2 linked regions of the Mytilus edulis genome follow. The protein of the gene in region 1 interacts with the protein of each later gene in a biochemical or structural test. Links are inferred from orthologs where the notes say so. Each region holds a gene or a part of one and is shown in the gene's direction. Other genes may lie near its edges.

Evidence for each region.
Region 2: of the proteins of cell division cycle 7-related protein kinase-like (region 1) and claspin-like, one has a biochemical effect on the other in vitro, tested with the Homo sapiens proteins (3 studies listed by BioGRID, with this or other methods). The link is inferred for Mytilus edulis from reciprocal best matches to the Homo sapiens genes CDC7 and CLSPN.

What each region holds. Positions count from the first base shown.
Region 1 is NC_092357.1:43,430,426-43,437,961, forward strand, and holds the start of cell division cycle 7-related protein kinase-like, read left to right. Parts: upstream 1-4,295; 5' UTR 4,296-4,409; intron 4,410-7,536. UniProt on the Homo sapiens protein: Kinase involved in initiation of DNA replication. Phosphorylates critical substrates that regulate the G1/S phase transition and initiation of DNA replication, such as MCM proteins and CLASPIN.
Region 2 is NC_092346.1:40,924,503-40,932,471, forward strand, and holds the start of claspin-like, read left to right. Parts: upstream 1-4,857; 5' UTR 4,858-4,995; coding exon 4,996-5,016; intron 5,017-5,990; coding exon 5,991-6,090; intron 6,091-7,969. Other genes in the region: THUMP domain-containing protein 2-like, read right to left, coding at 1-72, 617-1,326, 2,146-2,284, 4,686-4,769.

The sequences.
Region 1 (7,536 bases):
TAACTATTTGGTTGCTATTGGCGTTTTTGTTTTTGTTTCTCTGTGATGAGTGTTCTTGGTTTTGTTTGTGCTGCATTCCTGTCGCATACATAGCATGCATGTCTAGGATGAGAACACATTCACTGACAAGAGATGTATGTCCTGTAATAAGGACATGGGTGTAGGATGGAATATAAGGTTATATTAGATATGGATTGAAAATTTTCCTTTGGGAAGACCACCAACCTCTCAAAGAATTGTTGCAAGTGTTCTTGACTTGTTTGGAGCATGACATTCTTTCACTACACGTGGCAGTGGATTTAACGTCTCTCTGCGTATTTATACATATTGCACAAACAAACGAATGCCCAATTTTGTCGAGGTGTTATCTGACGGTTTGGAATAGACTAAAAATGGCTATTTGTTTCTATTCCGAAGTCCCCTTCGTGTCACCTTATTCTGGTAATTTTTAAGATGATTTTCAATAAGCTGTCAACAAAAGTTTATCTTTCTATTAATCTTTCAAAAAAAAACATTTTTTAATTTCAAACCAACAGAAAAAAGTGAGAAACATATAATCGGATTCGGACTGTTTATATCGTGAGAGCCGTGGTGTAGTGGTTAGTGCATTGGACTACTAACACAAAGGTTACTCGTCTGGGATGAGAATTTCAGGGACTGAATTTTCGGCTCTCCGGTCCTTGACACCATTTGCGAGTATGGTCTCCAGGAAACGATGATAGTCCGTCGGAAGGGGACGAAAAATAGCTTACCCATGTTAATTAAGATAGAGCTATACTCTTGCACGTTAAAGACACCCTTGTAGATTTCGAAAAAGCGTGCGATAATGCCGCTACAAGGCAGTACTCGCACCCGCAAAGTGGAAAGGAATTAATATAAGTTGCAAAAACTTGTTTCCAAATCCAGTATAAATAAATATGTTCTTTACACTAGCTATAGATCAGTTTGATGTGTACTGATTTATAAATTAGTCTGGTAGAACATGATTGAGGTATCAGAGGTTTCTCAAAATTTTAATTGATTTTTATGTCAAATTAATAAAAAAAAAAAAAACTCTATATATTTTGTAAAATATATTTTTTAATTTCAATGCATTTTCCTGATATTTATAAGATATTTCCAAATACTAGTATTGCACATGTATACGTTAAACGATATGTTTTCATTGGCGGATCCAGGGGGTGGGGGTGCCGGGGGTAGGAACCCCCTTTTTTGGCCGATCAATGCACTTGAATGGGGACATATAGCTGGAACCCCCCTTTATCCTGGGTTGGGAACCCCCCTTTTTAAAATGGCCGGATCCGCCCCTGGTTTTACACATTCATTTTAATCTGGGAGCAGTATATCTATGTTCCTGTTCAGTAGATAATTCAGAATCATTTATAAAAGTTTAAAGGTAAAACACAACTATGATTCCGCTGAAATAAACTATACTGTTTAAAAGAACGAAACAATTTAGGTTTAATAGATTATATGTATGCGTTAACAAATTTGTATCTTTCCCAAACTGATGTATCTGTTAAGGGAACAGTCATTATTTACCAGATGGGGGGGGGGGGGGGAATTTCATAGCGAAATGAACAAAATAAAAATGTACCCCCCCAGTCATATTGTAAATTTAAAAATGACCCCCCCAAATGTAGTTAATAAAAAACTTTGGACCCCCCCCCCCCCCCCCCCCCCCCATCTGCTGCTATTATTTATCAATGATTTAAACCATTTAATTAACAGCATATTTTTATTGTAAGATGAAAACATGCATTTATAAACATATTTACACAACATAACAAGTTTTAGATATAAACAACTAAACATGACTAACCTATTCTTGTACAACTTCTTCACCACTTTCACTCACATCTTCCATATGATCACTCATTTCTCTGTTACTTTCACTTTCATCTGAATCTTTCTCGCTTTCATCTCGACACTCTCCCTGTCTCCAACATTCATGACTGCTTTCATACAACGCCCAGTATCTCTCTTCAACACTGTCACATACATTTTCAAGGATGAGACACTTGGCTGTGTGTGTAAAAACATTTTTTTCAAATAAAACAAAGAGAGCTTTTGCAAGTTTTACCCCTATGTTACAAACTTGATCAATATCAATGTTATTTGTTTCATTATCAACTGTATTTTTACATATGTATTGTAATCCATTGATATTGGAAATAAATGTAAATTCATCATTTGATACTATCAAATTAAGAAACAATTCTTTCTTTGAAACATTACACTGCCGCAAAAAAAATGTATGTTACTTTATCAAAAGGGTGCATGGAATAACAGCAAACTAGTCCTTTATCAACATCCAATATCTTGTCCCGAAAAACATTTTTATCTGGTTGATGTTCAAAATAAGATGAATAAATCTCAAAAGCATTTTGGAATTCTATAAGTGTGCTGCACTCAAGATGATCTAAAACAGCAAGTAATGCCAGCAGAGAACGAAAATCAAACTTGGAGTTTTGTGCTTCATACATGTATCCATTTAATTTTTGTCGATTTTCAAAAAATGTAGAGCATGTTTGGAAAGAAATCCGAATATCATTTTCACAATATTTTGTTTGAAGTTTTCTTTTTAAAATCGTTTTTTCTATATAAGGCTTACGTTGAAATATTTTAGCATTTTCGTTCTTTTCTCTATCCATCTTTAATTAAAATAAGACTGTGTTGATAAACAAATTGCTTAAAGTCAATATTATCTCCCAAAGAGGCCACTTACTATGTAACTGATTTGTAGGGATGGCAGGGCAGCTGGAATAGGTCACTATTTCATGCTCTATTATGTATTAAAAGGGTGAGACATTCAGATTAAATGTATAATTAGGCAAAGATTATTGCTTGATTGTATCACACTTATCTGATACTAATCAGATGTCAGTATTTATTTTTGATGCAGAACCACAGTCATAAATACATCAGATATTTGTCATACTAATTTATATCTATTTAACTTCCCATGTGGTATATCCTCTTGTGCTAGTCATTGATGCTATAAATCCAATTATACCTATTTAATATTAGAAGCATGTATACATGAACCAAGATAACAAATATAAAAAGCAATTCCACAGTGTCAAGAAAGGAGAACATAAAATTTTGTAGTTGTTGAAAATTCTGTTTGAAAAAAATTGACCCCCCCCCCCCCCATTTAATATTGGAACATTTTTTTGAACCCCCCAATATGTTCATCAAAAATATTTTGACCCCCCAAAAAATTACCCAACCCCCCAGCTGGTAAATAATGACTGTTCCCTAATACTTAAAATGGCATTACGGACGCTACGATTTCGGTCCTATTAAAAAGCGCCCGGGAGCGCCCGAGAGCGCCCGGGAAAAAAAACGCCCGGGGAAGGAAAATAAGCGCCCGGGAGAATAAAATAATACTATTTTATAACAATGAATATTTTCCTTAAAAAAAATCTTTGCTTGTTATGTCCTTTATATAAATGGGGATATGTACGATGCTACATCTAAAGTGTTGTTTATATCTTTTTATAAAACTAAAACTTTGACTGTTTTAATGTCTATGCTTATCAGGATTTTAATGCTTAGTTTTAACTCATGCTTTTTACCCCCTTCATTTAACTACTGTACATGTATAGTACTACTTTATTTGCTGATTTATTATGTGTAACTCTTTTAATTTTGATTAGATATTTATCTGTGAAATTTAAGTTGTTTTTTTACATTTTTCATTTTAATGTTGTTTTTGAAAAACATGTCTTTTGAAGTTTTACATTTTATAAATCTTCTTCATAAAACTGTGATCTATTATTATCTGTCTTTCGAAATAGTATTTATATATTATTGTTAAAATTGAAAAATTCATACTTGTTTTTGTGCTTTATTATAAATGCCTATTATCTGAATTTTCAAATTACTTGTCTAAAATATAAAAAAAAAATCAATGTACATAACGTATTTCATCGACACAAAGTTGTCTCATGCCAATAAAATATCTATATATTTTCCCCGGGCGCATTTTCTTTCACCCGGGCGCTAATTTTTCTTCCCCGGGCGCTTTTTCTTTTCCCCGGGCGCATTTTAGTAGGACCCTACCGGGGGCGAATCCAGCCATTTTAAAAAGGGGGGTTCCTAACCCAGGACAAAGGGGGGTTCCAATTACATGTCCCCATTCAAATGCATTGATCGTCCAAAAAAAGGGGGTCCAACCCCAGGAACCCCCTCCCCCCCCTTCTGGATCCGCGCCTGCCTACGATTTGGCTGTGCTGGTTAAATTGTACGGTCCGAGTTAACTTACTAGTCGGTCCGAGTTTTCATCGGGCCGAGTTGTCCAGTGTTCCAAAATACAAAGGGAAGTAACAAGAGAAACTCAATTTTAGCGGGCATTTTGGTTTTGTTGAAAAGTTGAACAAGAAGAAAGTGAATAAATCGCACAGGTATACGAAACTGTAATCTTATAAAAAGTTATATTCCATACCTACAGGCAATCAAAGTAAAATTCATGTCATTCGTCTGAAAACAATAGCAATAGTGTTGAAAGTGGTTTCATTGTAAATAGAACGGAATTTGATGAGACTGTCAACAAAGTGAGACTGACAGGTTTAGTGCTATAAAACCAGGTTTAATCCACCATTTTCTGCATTTGAAAATGCCTGTAGCAAGTCGGGAATATGATAGTTTCTTGTACATTCGATTTTGATGTGTTTTGTCTTTAGATTTTGCCATGTGATTAGTAACTTTCTTATTTGATTCTCCGAGTTCAGGGGTCCTGATTCACAATATCCTGGGCTTACAAACACGAAATCCAGAGGTCCTGAATTAGATAAATTTAAATACTGAAAGGGTCAATCCTGAAATCCTGAGCTTAAAAACAGCCTCATCAATCAATATATCAGCTATAGCCATTAGACGGTACCTCGAATGACCGAATAACACTGTTATTATCCGAATAACACATGTAATGACCGAATAACTCTTCAAATATCAATATTAACACATTTGAGTGACTTTTAAACATATATTATTGAATAAAATTATATTAGAAGTGTAAATTATACAGTTATAACCTAAAAATGATTTACAAGTTGCAGGTAAGTTAATATTGATCATTATAAATTAATGGATATCGGTGTGTACTTCCAAGATGGCGACCATGGAAATCGTACGGAATGAATAAAAGAAAGATTGCATATGCCTTTAAAGGAAAACGCTATGAAAATATAGTATTAAATATTTTACTGTATATACAGAGAATTGTCTAATGATTGTTTTTCAGAAAGGATTTGAAAATTTAACCAGTACATCAAAGCAATGCAATTACTCCAATCACTAATTACTTTTCATAACAATTTACTCAACATTAAATAAAATGTAATTAAGAATTTTCACATATTCAATTCAAATTTAATTAAAAAATTATTATACTTGATTGTTTTAATAAAAACAAAGCTTCTGAATGGATGATTCGTATGTTTGTTCTAACAAAATTTTCTCAAAACTAAATTAAAGATTTTCATTGGCAAATATAAATGTTTTTACAAGTAACTATAATGTTGTATAAAAAACATGGTACAAGAAGAATAAAATAAAATTTTTAATTTTTAATTTCAAAGAAGACAATCTTTCACTAAGTTTATTATATTTCATTTATTTCTTATTTCATTTAAAATGTATTAAATTTACTTAATTTATTAGTTACTAAAAAATCAGAAATAATATTCTTCTAAAATTAGTATTTACGTTTTTTTTTATTGCTATTTTCCTTTATTTTCATACATTGAATAAGTTTTAATAGTGAAATGTTCAGTACCAAATATATAATTTAGTAGTGATAATGAGTTAATATGTTCCAATAAACAAAATAATCATTACCTCACACTTCTGTTATATTGTTAATTCGGTTGTTGTTTACTGACACGTGCCCATTACATAATTAATCATTAAGAGATAATGAAATTATATTACGGTATGGACACTGCATTAAACAGGCTTGTGACTGTCTTGGTTTACCAAGGCTGCATTACAGTACGGGTAGGGACTTATTTTTATGGATAAATGGGAATCCGGGAAATGACTGATAAAAATAAAACAAAAAATAGTTAAAGACGACTAAATCGTGCTTTGATTATACATGTATGTAAATCGATTAAATTTCTATTCTGGTAAATCGATCAAGAGCCTCAAAACTAAAGCACAATACTGTCAATCATTCCACATCAAATTTAATCATGAATGAATTTTCCCACGGTCGGTCAGTAAGGTCACCTGTGTTTACTGTTACATTTCCCGCCTTATAAAAATCTCGTGTAGTGGACAAAATCGATCTTTAATATCTTTTATTAGCATTCAATATTATTGTGAGTGGAGTCAAGTTAAAGTTCAACCACGTGCACACGCTGTTGATCACTGATATGTGTATCATGGAATTGTCTTTTCACGGCAATTTTCTCTTTTAGATTGCTATAAAAAATATAACATACAAGTTTCTTTTTTTACATGGTTGTGCGTAAATTAATATTATGCAATTAAGTTCGGGATTTCGGGATTAACCCTTTCGGGATCTGGAAATTCTTTTTTCGCGATGTCGGGATTTTAATTTATTTAAATTTGGGACCTTGGGACTTCGTGTTTTTAAGCCCGGGATTTCGAGATCCGGACCCCTTTTACCCCCTACTCCCAAATGCAGATCAATTATATTAATTTAGGATTTAAATTTATTTAAATTCGGAACCTTGGGACTTCGTGTTTTTAAGCCCGGGATTTCGAGATCCGGACCCCTTTTACCCCTACCCCCAAATGCAGATCAATTATATTAATTTAGGATTTAAATTTATTTAAATTCGGGACCTAAGAACTTCGTGTTTTTAAGCCCAGGATTTCGAGATCTGGACCCCTTTTACCCCCTACCCCCAAATGCAGATCAATTATATTAATTTAGGATTTAAATTTATTTAAATTCGGGACCTTGGGACTTCATGTTTTTAAGCCAGGGATTTCCAGATCCGGACCCCTTTTACCCCATCCCCCAAATGCAGATCAATTATATTAATTAAAATAAGAAAAAGATACAAAAAAAAACCAAACGAAAAGGAACATAAAATAAGAATAATTTTTAGGAACAAAGAAAATAAATAACAGTTGAAATATCAAAACCATAATTAACAAAAATAGGCTAGTTTTATTAAACAAAGTTTTCTCCAGTACTTCACCTGTAAAAAAGCTTTCTTCTGGCAAATTATAATTTAAAATTAAAAATATGCAAGAACTTTTGGATTATTTTAGTCATTCGATGTTAAAAAAAAATTTCTTCTTCTTAAACATTGAGAAAATATTTCAGTTCATTTGCTAACTTTGTTAATAAACCAACTGACCGACTTCCTCAAAGCTACTTAGAAGGCACGGTAACCCTCTTTGAACAGTGAAATGTACCCCGTCACGAGCTCTGTATTCCACCCGATAAACATTAGTTGGCTTGAAATAATGTACAAAATGATTTTCAAGAGCTATGCTTTTCATCATTTTGTTCACTATCTCTCGGCGAACTGTATGCTCATTGGAACACCC
Region 2 (7,969 bases), on another chromosome or scaffold:
GTCAGGGTCACGTAGGTTAACTTTCCAGTTCAGCATATTCTTCAGTTTAGATCCAATGCTTATTTGGAGATCCTTTACAAATGTAAAATATACTACATGTAAATGTGTTTGGACTAAACAAATGACCTCACTAGAATAAAATACAAAATTGATCCGTATCTCACCTTTAAACAATAAAAATAAATACTAAGAAATTTCTTGATTTTAAAGGGAAGTAATTTGATCATCACTTAGGTAAAGGGAAGTAATTTGATCGGGATGTAATTTGTTCATAGGTACAATGGCACTGTTCAATAGTGTACACTCAGATTGTAACTTATCATTACAAAGTAACATTTTAAAACGAAGACATCACTGCATGTACTACTGTTTAAAATACCTAAAAGTATATTTTTTGTAATTTATTTGTATGTCAAAGTTTAACTTTAACTTAGCAGTGCATGCAGTTGTGAAAGACTTGTGATTACATTTTTGTCTTTATGTCATTCTAGCATAAAAATGTATTACCATATAACATACCTATACTTTGAAAAGATAGCATAAAGCTTTCATTTATTGAAAATTTGTTTTACTCAATGATATAAAGCATACACATTTCAATCTTTTATACCATTACCTGTGCATACACATATTTGCCAACTGAGCCTGTGCAGCGACAAGTCACTCTAAATGTAAAGTCTAACTTTTCTTTTTTCTTTACAGGTTCTTCAGGGTTTTCTCTATTAGGACTACAACTTCTTTTAACTGATTTTGTTGATCCTAGAGATTGTTCTACCTTCAACAAACCACTTTCTGATTCACTTTTTGGGGTTTCTGTCAGTTGATCTTTTTTCTCAGTGACAGACATGCTTAATCTTTCAGGTTCTTTTAAATCAACATCATGCTTATCACATTCAATGTTTTTTACATCATCCGAAATGCTTTTCTTTTCTGTAATAGGTACATGTAAGTCTGCTTTGTTTGTTTCCACAGAAGCAACTGGTTGTATGTCCAATCTATCATGCTGAATATCCATAGGTTCATTTTGCTTTTCTATGGTGGCTGGGCCTTCTTTGTTTAAAACTTCGACTAATGTATCTGTATTTGTTGTTGTAGGCTTAATGCTTTCTAATTTCTGTGAACAATCGATTGATGTTTTCTCCAAGACATGAGAACATGTAGAAGTTGATTGATGTTTTGAATCTGGAGAACTCTCATCTATCATGGCTGTGTTCTGGACCTGTAATACTTCATGAGGGATCTGATGAATGACAGGATCATTCCATATATCAGCATTCATAATAGCACGTCTCACATGAACATAGGAAATTCTATCATACTGCTTTTCTACAAAATGTGTTATATATTGTAATCATAGGGAAAATTATATAAGAATGAATTGACTGAAAATTATGGTAATTCAAATTTCATATTAGATGGCATTCAATAAATGAATCTAACACATTTCTCTGTCGTTCCAATCCTAAGGCAAAAATGATCTACTTTTTCAAATTCAAATTCAACTTAGAATTTGCATCAAATTTTCATACAAATAATGTTGCTTATTCCTTTTCCTGGATTGACATGATTGAGGAAAATGTGTTGTTTCATGGATATTTAATTTCTTGGTTTTGCCAAAATATGCATACTAAAAGACAATCCTCTGTAAAACTTTTAAATTTGTGGTTTACTTTTAGCTATGAATCAAAAAAATCTTGTTCTAATTTTCAAATGATCAATAGTCATGGAAGTTCTATTGGACATAATTGTAAAATAAAATTGAGAATGGAAACAGGGAATGTGTCAAAGAGACAACAACCCAACCAAAGAATTTTCAACGGCAGCACAGTTCTTGCATAAATTGACTTGTTATATATTATCTAATTGTAAGAAATGGCATGTAAACAGTCCTTTTAAGGTTCTTTTTATCCTTTGAAAGTTAGTTTAAGATCTTAAAATGATGAATTTAAAGGCACGCACAATATATTACAGCAAGGTCAAGATGTTCAACAAGCCGAAAATTAAAATGATCTTTCATTTGCAGTAATAATTGATGGTTATCATGGTTATTTTTTAACTAACATAAAAGTATAGAAATTTGTATATCAAAACTTGTGAAATTTTCTCGCCTTGTTCCAACCATGTCAAAAGAATACATGTACCTACTTTTGTTTATTTCTCGTATCGTCTTCCAATCCAGTTGTAAGATATGTACAAATATTCTTTCTACTGATCTCAGTGTTACAATCTGCTGAATCTGTGAGATATTGGCATCAAAATAAACTTTACCATCAGAGACAACAATCTATATAAATGAAAAGAAAAAAAACATCACAATAATCTGGGAATTCTATCATTTTCAGTCCAAACTAAAAACTGTGAGCACTGAATTTTCAAAGGATTCAATAAAATAATAGTCTCTTCAAAGAAATCTGTAATATTACCAATTGGTTCCAAGGCATGTTAGCAGTATTTCTTAGATAGGGCCACACCAATTTAATATCTTGTTCTACGGATTTTCTGCGAAGCTTGAAAAGTAAAGGCGAGCGATTATAATTTTTTTTTGTAAACATAAAATAGTAGGTTTTGACAATATTAAAACTTGATTTATCACTTGTTCTTTGACATTTCTTTAATTTCTGAAGTAACTTTTCCCTGTTCACCAAGAAATAATTAAATCTGGTCTATGTATGTGCGACTGACAATGAGACAATTCTCCATCTAAGTCATAATCAGTTTGGGGGCAACCCCTTAATGTTATAAATATCCCTTTTACATATTTTTTGAGGGATCAATATAAGTTATAATATATTTGTTTGTACTAAAGGGCTCATGTTTTCTCAAAGAACTATATATTATCTATCTCGTATTAAATGGTCAAACATGTCCAAGAATTTTGTAATATTCCTGGACTTTTTAACACATTTACTTTAACAGTTTAATATTATTCAAAATAAGTGGACCCCTCTTTTAGAAAAAGTTGTTTAAAATATGATGTAACTCTCCTCTTTTTCAGTACAAAATTCTAAGTTTTCAAAGGTTTTGTATAGAAGAACTATACAAATCCTTGGTATTTCTGTTTTCTTTTCTACATCAGTAAAATGACCCTTTGTCAAATACTTGTCTGAGGGAGACCTGGGAGGGTTGTTCTCAAACTGATAATAACAAACACATGTAAAAGTACGACCTTTTACACAAGGCTTTGATACAGACCAAACAGCAAGCTATAAAGGACCCCAAAATTATTAGCGTACACAATTCGAACAGGAAACCCAATGATCTAATTTATATATCCAAACAGGAAAATACCAATGAACAACATCAACAAACGATAACTGCTGAATGACAGGCCCCTGAATCAATCAGGACAGGCGCTTAAACATGCAGCGGCTATGGATAGTTTTGTTTCGCCAGCATACAATATAATTGCAGTTGAAGGCAAATCCTTCAGAAGTTCTTTGTACTTTATTCTAACAACGAACATTTTTTGATAGGGAATATAAGTAAGGGGGAAAGAAACCAATCTTTTGTTCTTTACAGGTATTTCCGCTGTTATAAATTTATATCGAGCACTCCCACTTTGGATAAATAGGTTTAATGCTGAAACAAATATTCTCACAGATATTTACACAGTGTGGTGAACTGGTGGTGTGCTTTTATGTGTAAAATCTTATATATACAGGTTAGACTGTGATTTTATAAACAAATGTTGATATCTTTTTATAATATTTACAAAAAAAACGGTGCAGGAAATGGGCATGATTACATTTCCGGATGCGGGAAGCGGGAATATAAAAAAAAATAAAAAATTCTGTTTTGAAAAAAATAGGTGCAGGCGGGTCCGTCGAACAAGGAATCAAATTAGTGTGGCCTAGGCTAGTAAAACTTAAAAAATCGTAATTCTAATATATAAATAATAGAAAAATAAGATTATAAAGAAGACTTTCCAGTGTGTGCTTTTTCCCCCGAAATTTCCTATGTAACAGAAAGAACTGATACACCATATTGATATTTGACGACACTTTGGAAACCACAAACACTGGCGGATCTAGACATTTCCATAAGTGGGGCCCACTGACTGCCTAAGAGGGGGCCCACTCCAGTCACGCTTCAGTGATTCCCTATATAAGCAACAAATTTTTTTCCCAAAATGGGGGGCCCCAGGCCCCCTCCCCCTAAATCTGCCTCTGACAAAGGTCCTTATAAAATTTGACGTCATAATACCAAATATATGACGCCACAACATGCACAATGGAAACATGATTGTTGTGTGATGTGTCTTGTGTACATATAAATAAGTCAACAATGTATGGTACTCTAATTTGATACATGCTAAACCCATGACATTGTAAAGAGTGTGGTAAAGGGTTATTTTAGTGCAACACTTTTTGCCATTTTTATTTCACGTGCAGCCGTGAAAAAGGCTTGTTATTCCCTGTGTTTCGTGAATCAGTAAAAAGACCAACATGCAGGACAATTTTAATTGTTCGTTTAAATGTTTAACGAGAAATGAATTAGTTTTATTTATTTTTTTATTTTTATTTTGCGTTCATCCATGCAGTTGCCCTCCCTTTACACCCCTATATAAATCTGAGTGTGTTTTACATATGTTTAAAGAGATTTCTAAAATAACTTTAGTAAGAAATGCATGTAGGATAGATAGTTTCTTTGTGTTGTTGTACAAATCTTTTAATATCTTCATATACATTTTGTGCTCTCAGTTTTTTCTCTAATTCTGTTTTAATGAACTTTTCTGTTCCTCTTCCTCCAGTGCAATAAAATCTTATCATGTTGGAGATAGAGATGGCGGGAAGACGTTATATATCGTATATGACTTTTTCTTTAAATTATATGAATACGCTCCATAGAGCTCCGAATGTACCAGGAAGAAAAATACTTTGGAAAAAAAACCGGAAATAATCTTCCGGAAATTGCGCATGTCATCTGCTCTGGAATTACGCGCGAAATGGAAAAAGTGTAAACAACGAAAACTTAGAAAACAGTCTAGTTATTCAAATGGAACAAAGTATTCACACGGTAATATATAAAAAACGAAAAACAAAATAACCCATGGTAGCTTTATTTGTTTGTACCAAATTCCCTCTTTTTAAGGCTGATTTTAACCTAATAAATTTACAAAAAATTATTGGTTCACAGCACACAGGCACTTGTTTCTGTCCATGGGAAGATCCGTTGATAGTGGGTCTTCTCATGGATATAAACAGTAGCCAAGGAGCAGTACACTGCATATCCAGAGGTGGATTTATGTGGAAAAAAGGGGGGGGGGGGCTGCAGGATGTTCAGATAAAAGATCATGAATTGTATTGATATTATAAAAACTACCAATCCAACATACATCGTTTTAGTTTTATTCCGTCATATTTCTTATATATAATGAGACAAAAAATAACATGCATCCTGGGAATCGTAACCATGAAGTAGGAGAAAGAAACCAGAATGAATAGACCCAATACCTTTGGGCCCCATAAGCCCCCTTTGAATATACTTGATCGTCATCTGATATTTAAATCTTGATATAGGAGTGGTTCTAATTTTGTATTTTTCAAAACGCCTCTTAAACAACTCAATTTTCTCTGACTTTTATTTATATAATTTCCATCTGCATTGTCCCCCTTCCATACACCTTATCATTAATACTATTTGTCTGCCATTTCTTGACATTGCTAAGGTTCCTGTGAAATTTTGAAGTCACAATAAAAAATATCAAATGCCACAATGATAAAGTGATTGTTGTATGACATCAAAGTTCTTAGGCGAAGATTCTCTGGTTAAGCAGAACAAATCTCCCAATAGGGATAATGTGTCTAGTTAAATCAAAAGTTTATTTACTGTCTAATATGTATAATTGTTCAAATGATGATTAAAAAATAAGGACATTGCTATAATTCAAAAATGGTGAATGCCATTTCAAAAGTAAGATGAATTTTAAAGGCATTAATTACCTACAATGTTCTAATGTATGTATGATAGTGTATGGTTAATAATTGTAGGAATCAGATAACATTCATGCGGATGAATTGAAACTGGAAGACAAAAGTGATAAAGCTGATTCAGGAATGGATGAGGATAGTCAGCCATTTAATGAACAAGGTTAGAACAATGTGGTATCAACTAATAGTATCTTTACTTGAGTGTGTACAAATGAAGTGACTGATATCTATGTCATTTGGTCATGGATGTATTAAGATTGCAATGAAATATAATTCAGATGTAATCCTTATGGGAGATTTTAACATAAATTGTTTACAACCCAATAAAATACCACAAACATGACAAAGATGGTTAATTGCTCTAGAAACTCATAACTTTCAACAGGTAATTAAGGAACCAACTAGAGTAACAAATGAATCAAAAACTTTGATTGACCATATATATGTCACCAGTTTAAGCATGGTTAAAGAGGCTCATGTTTCTAAATATTCTATTAGTGATCACTACCCAATATGTATGACAAGACAACAGAAATTGTGTGATAAAAAACATTCTCATTCAACAATCACTTATAGAAATTTTAAGACTTTTAATGAGAAAAATTATTTAAAAGATTTTAAAAGTGCACCTTTTCAACATATTGAATTTGAAAATGATCCATCTGTTTGTATTGAAATGTGGTACAACATTTTAAATAAACATGCCCCTATTGTGAAAAAGAGGGTAAAAAAAGACAGACAGCCTGAATGGTACAATAAAGAAATCTCATATGCAAGAAAAATGAGAGATAAATATCACTCACTGGGAATGTGGCCTGAATATAGATTCTGGAGAAACAGAACAAAATATATCATTGATACATCTAAACAGAAATATTATAATGATATGATAAAAGACTCAAAAGATTCTAAAACACTATGGAAATGTATTCACAGCCTAAATCCATCTAATCCTTCAAAACCACATGAACTTATTACAAATGGAGACCATAAAACAACTGACCATAAAGAAATTGCTAATACGTTCAATAATTATTTCACCTCATGACTTGTTGAAAAATTAAGGCATAGTAGGGCACCAAGCAACTCAAATTTTAATACTCTGACAAACTACAATGTATGTACAAATGAAATTCTTGAAAAAAAGGCATAATAAATTCATCATTCCTCCAGTAAAAGTTTCAGAACTATTTGCTGAAATAACTAAACTAGATGTTAAGACATCTTCTGGTTCTGACAATATAGGTCCAAAGATTTTAAAACTTAGTGCTCCTTTCATAGCATCTTCCTTAACATACATTTTTAATTGAATGATTGATACTGGTATTTATCCATCTGTTTTAAAAAATGCCGAAGTAGCTCCAATTTTCAAATCTGGTGAAAAAAATGTAGAGCTCTAGCAATTACAGACCAATATCTGTTTTGCCAACATTATCAAAATTAATTGAGAGACATGTATCTAAACATCTGTATAAATATTTGACAAAGTTTGATAATTTACACCCTTCCCAGTCTGGTTTTAGACCCAACCATTCATATCAAACTGCCCTCATTAATACATTTGTATTGATAAATGGCTACATGAAATGAATAATGGAAATATCAATTTGGCAGTCCTCTTGGATTTTAAGAAAGCTTTTGATGTTGTTGATCATGAAATTCTATGTAAAAAAACTTCTAATTTATGGCTTCCATGAAGATACTGTTGATTTTTTAAAATCATATTTGAGTGAAAGAACACAGCAAGTCCATATAAATAATCAGTTTTCTGATAAAAAGTTTATGAATTTTGGTGTTCCACAGGGCTCAATACTTGGTCCCATTTGTTTGTTTTGTTCATAAATGACCTTCCATTACACATCAAAAACTGCCATACAGACCTGTATGCTGATGACACAACTATGCATACATCAGGAAAGACTATTGGTGATATGCAATTAAAAGTACATTTGTACAAGATGATCTCCAATGCGTTGAAAAATGGTGTCATGAAAATAGCATGTTCATAAATTCGGATAAGACGAAATGTATGGTTATAG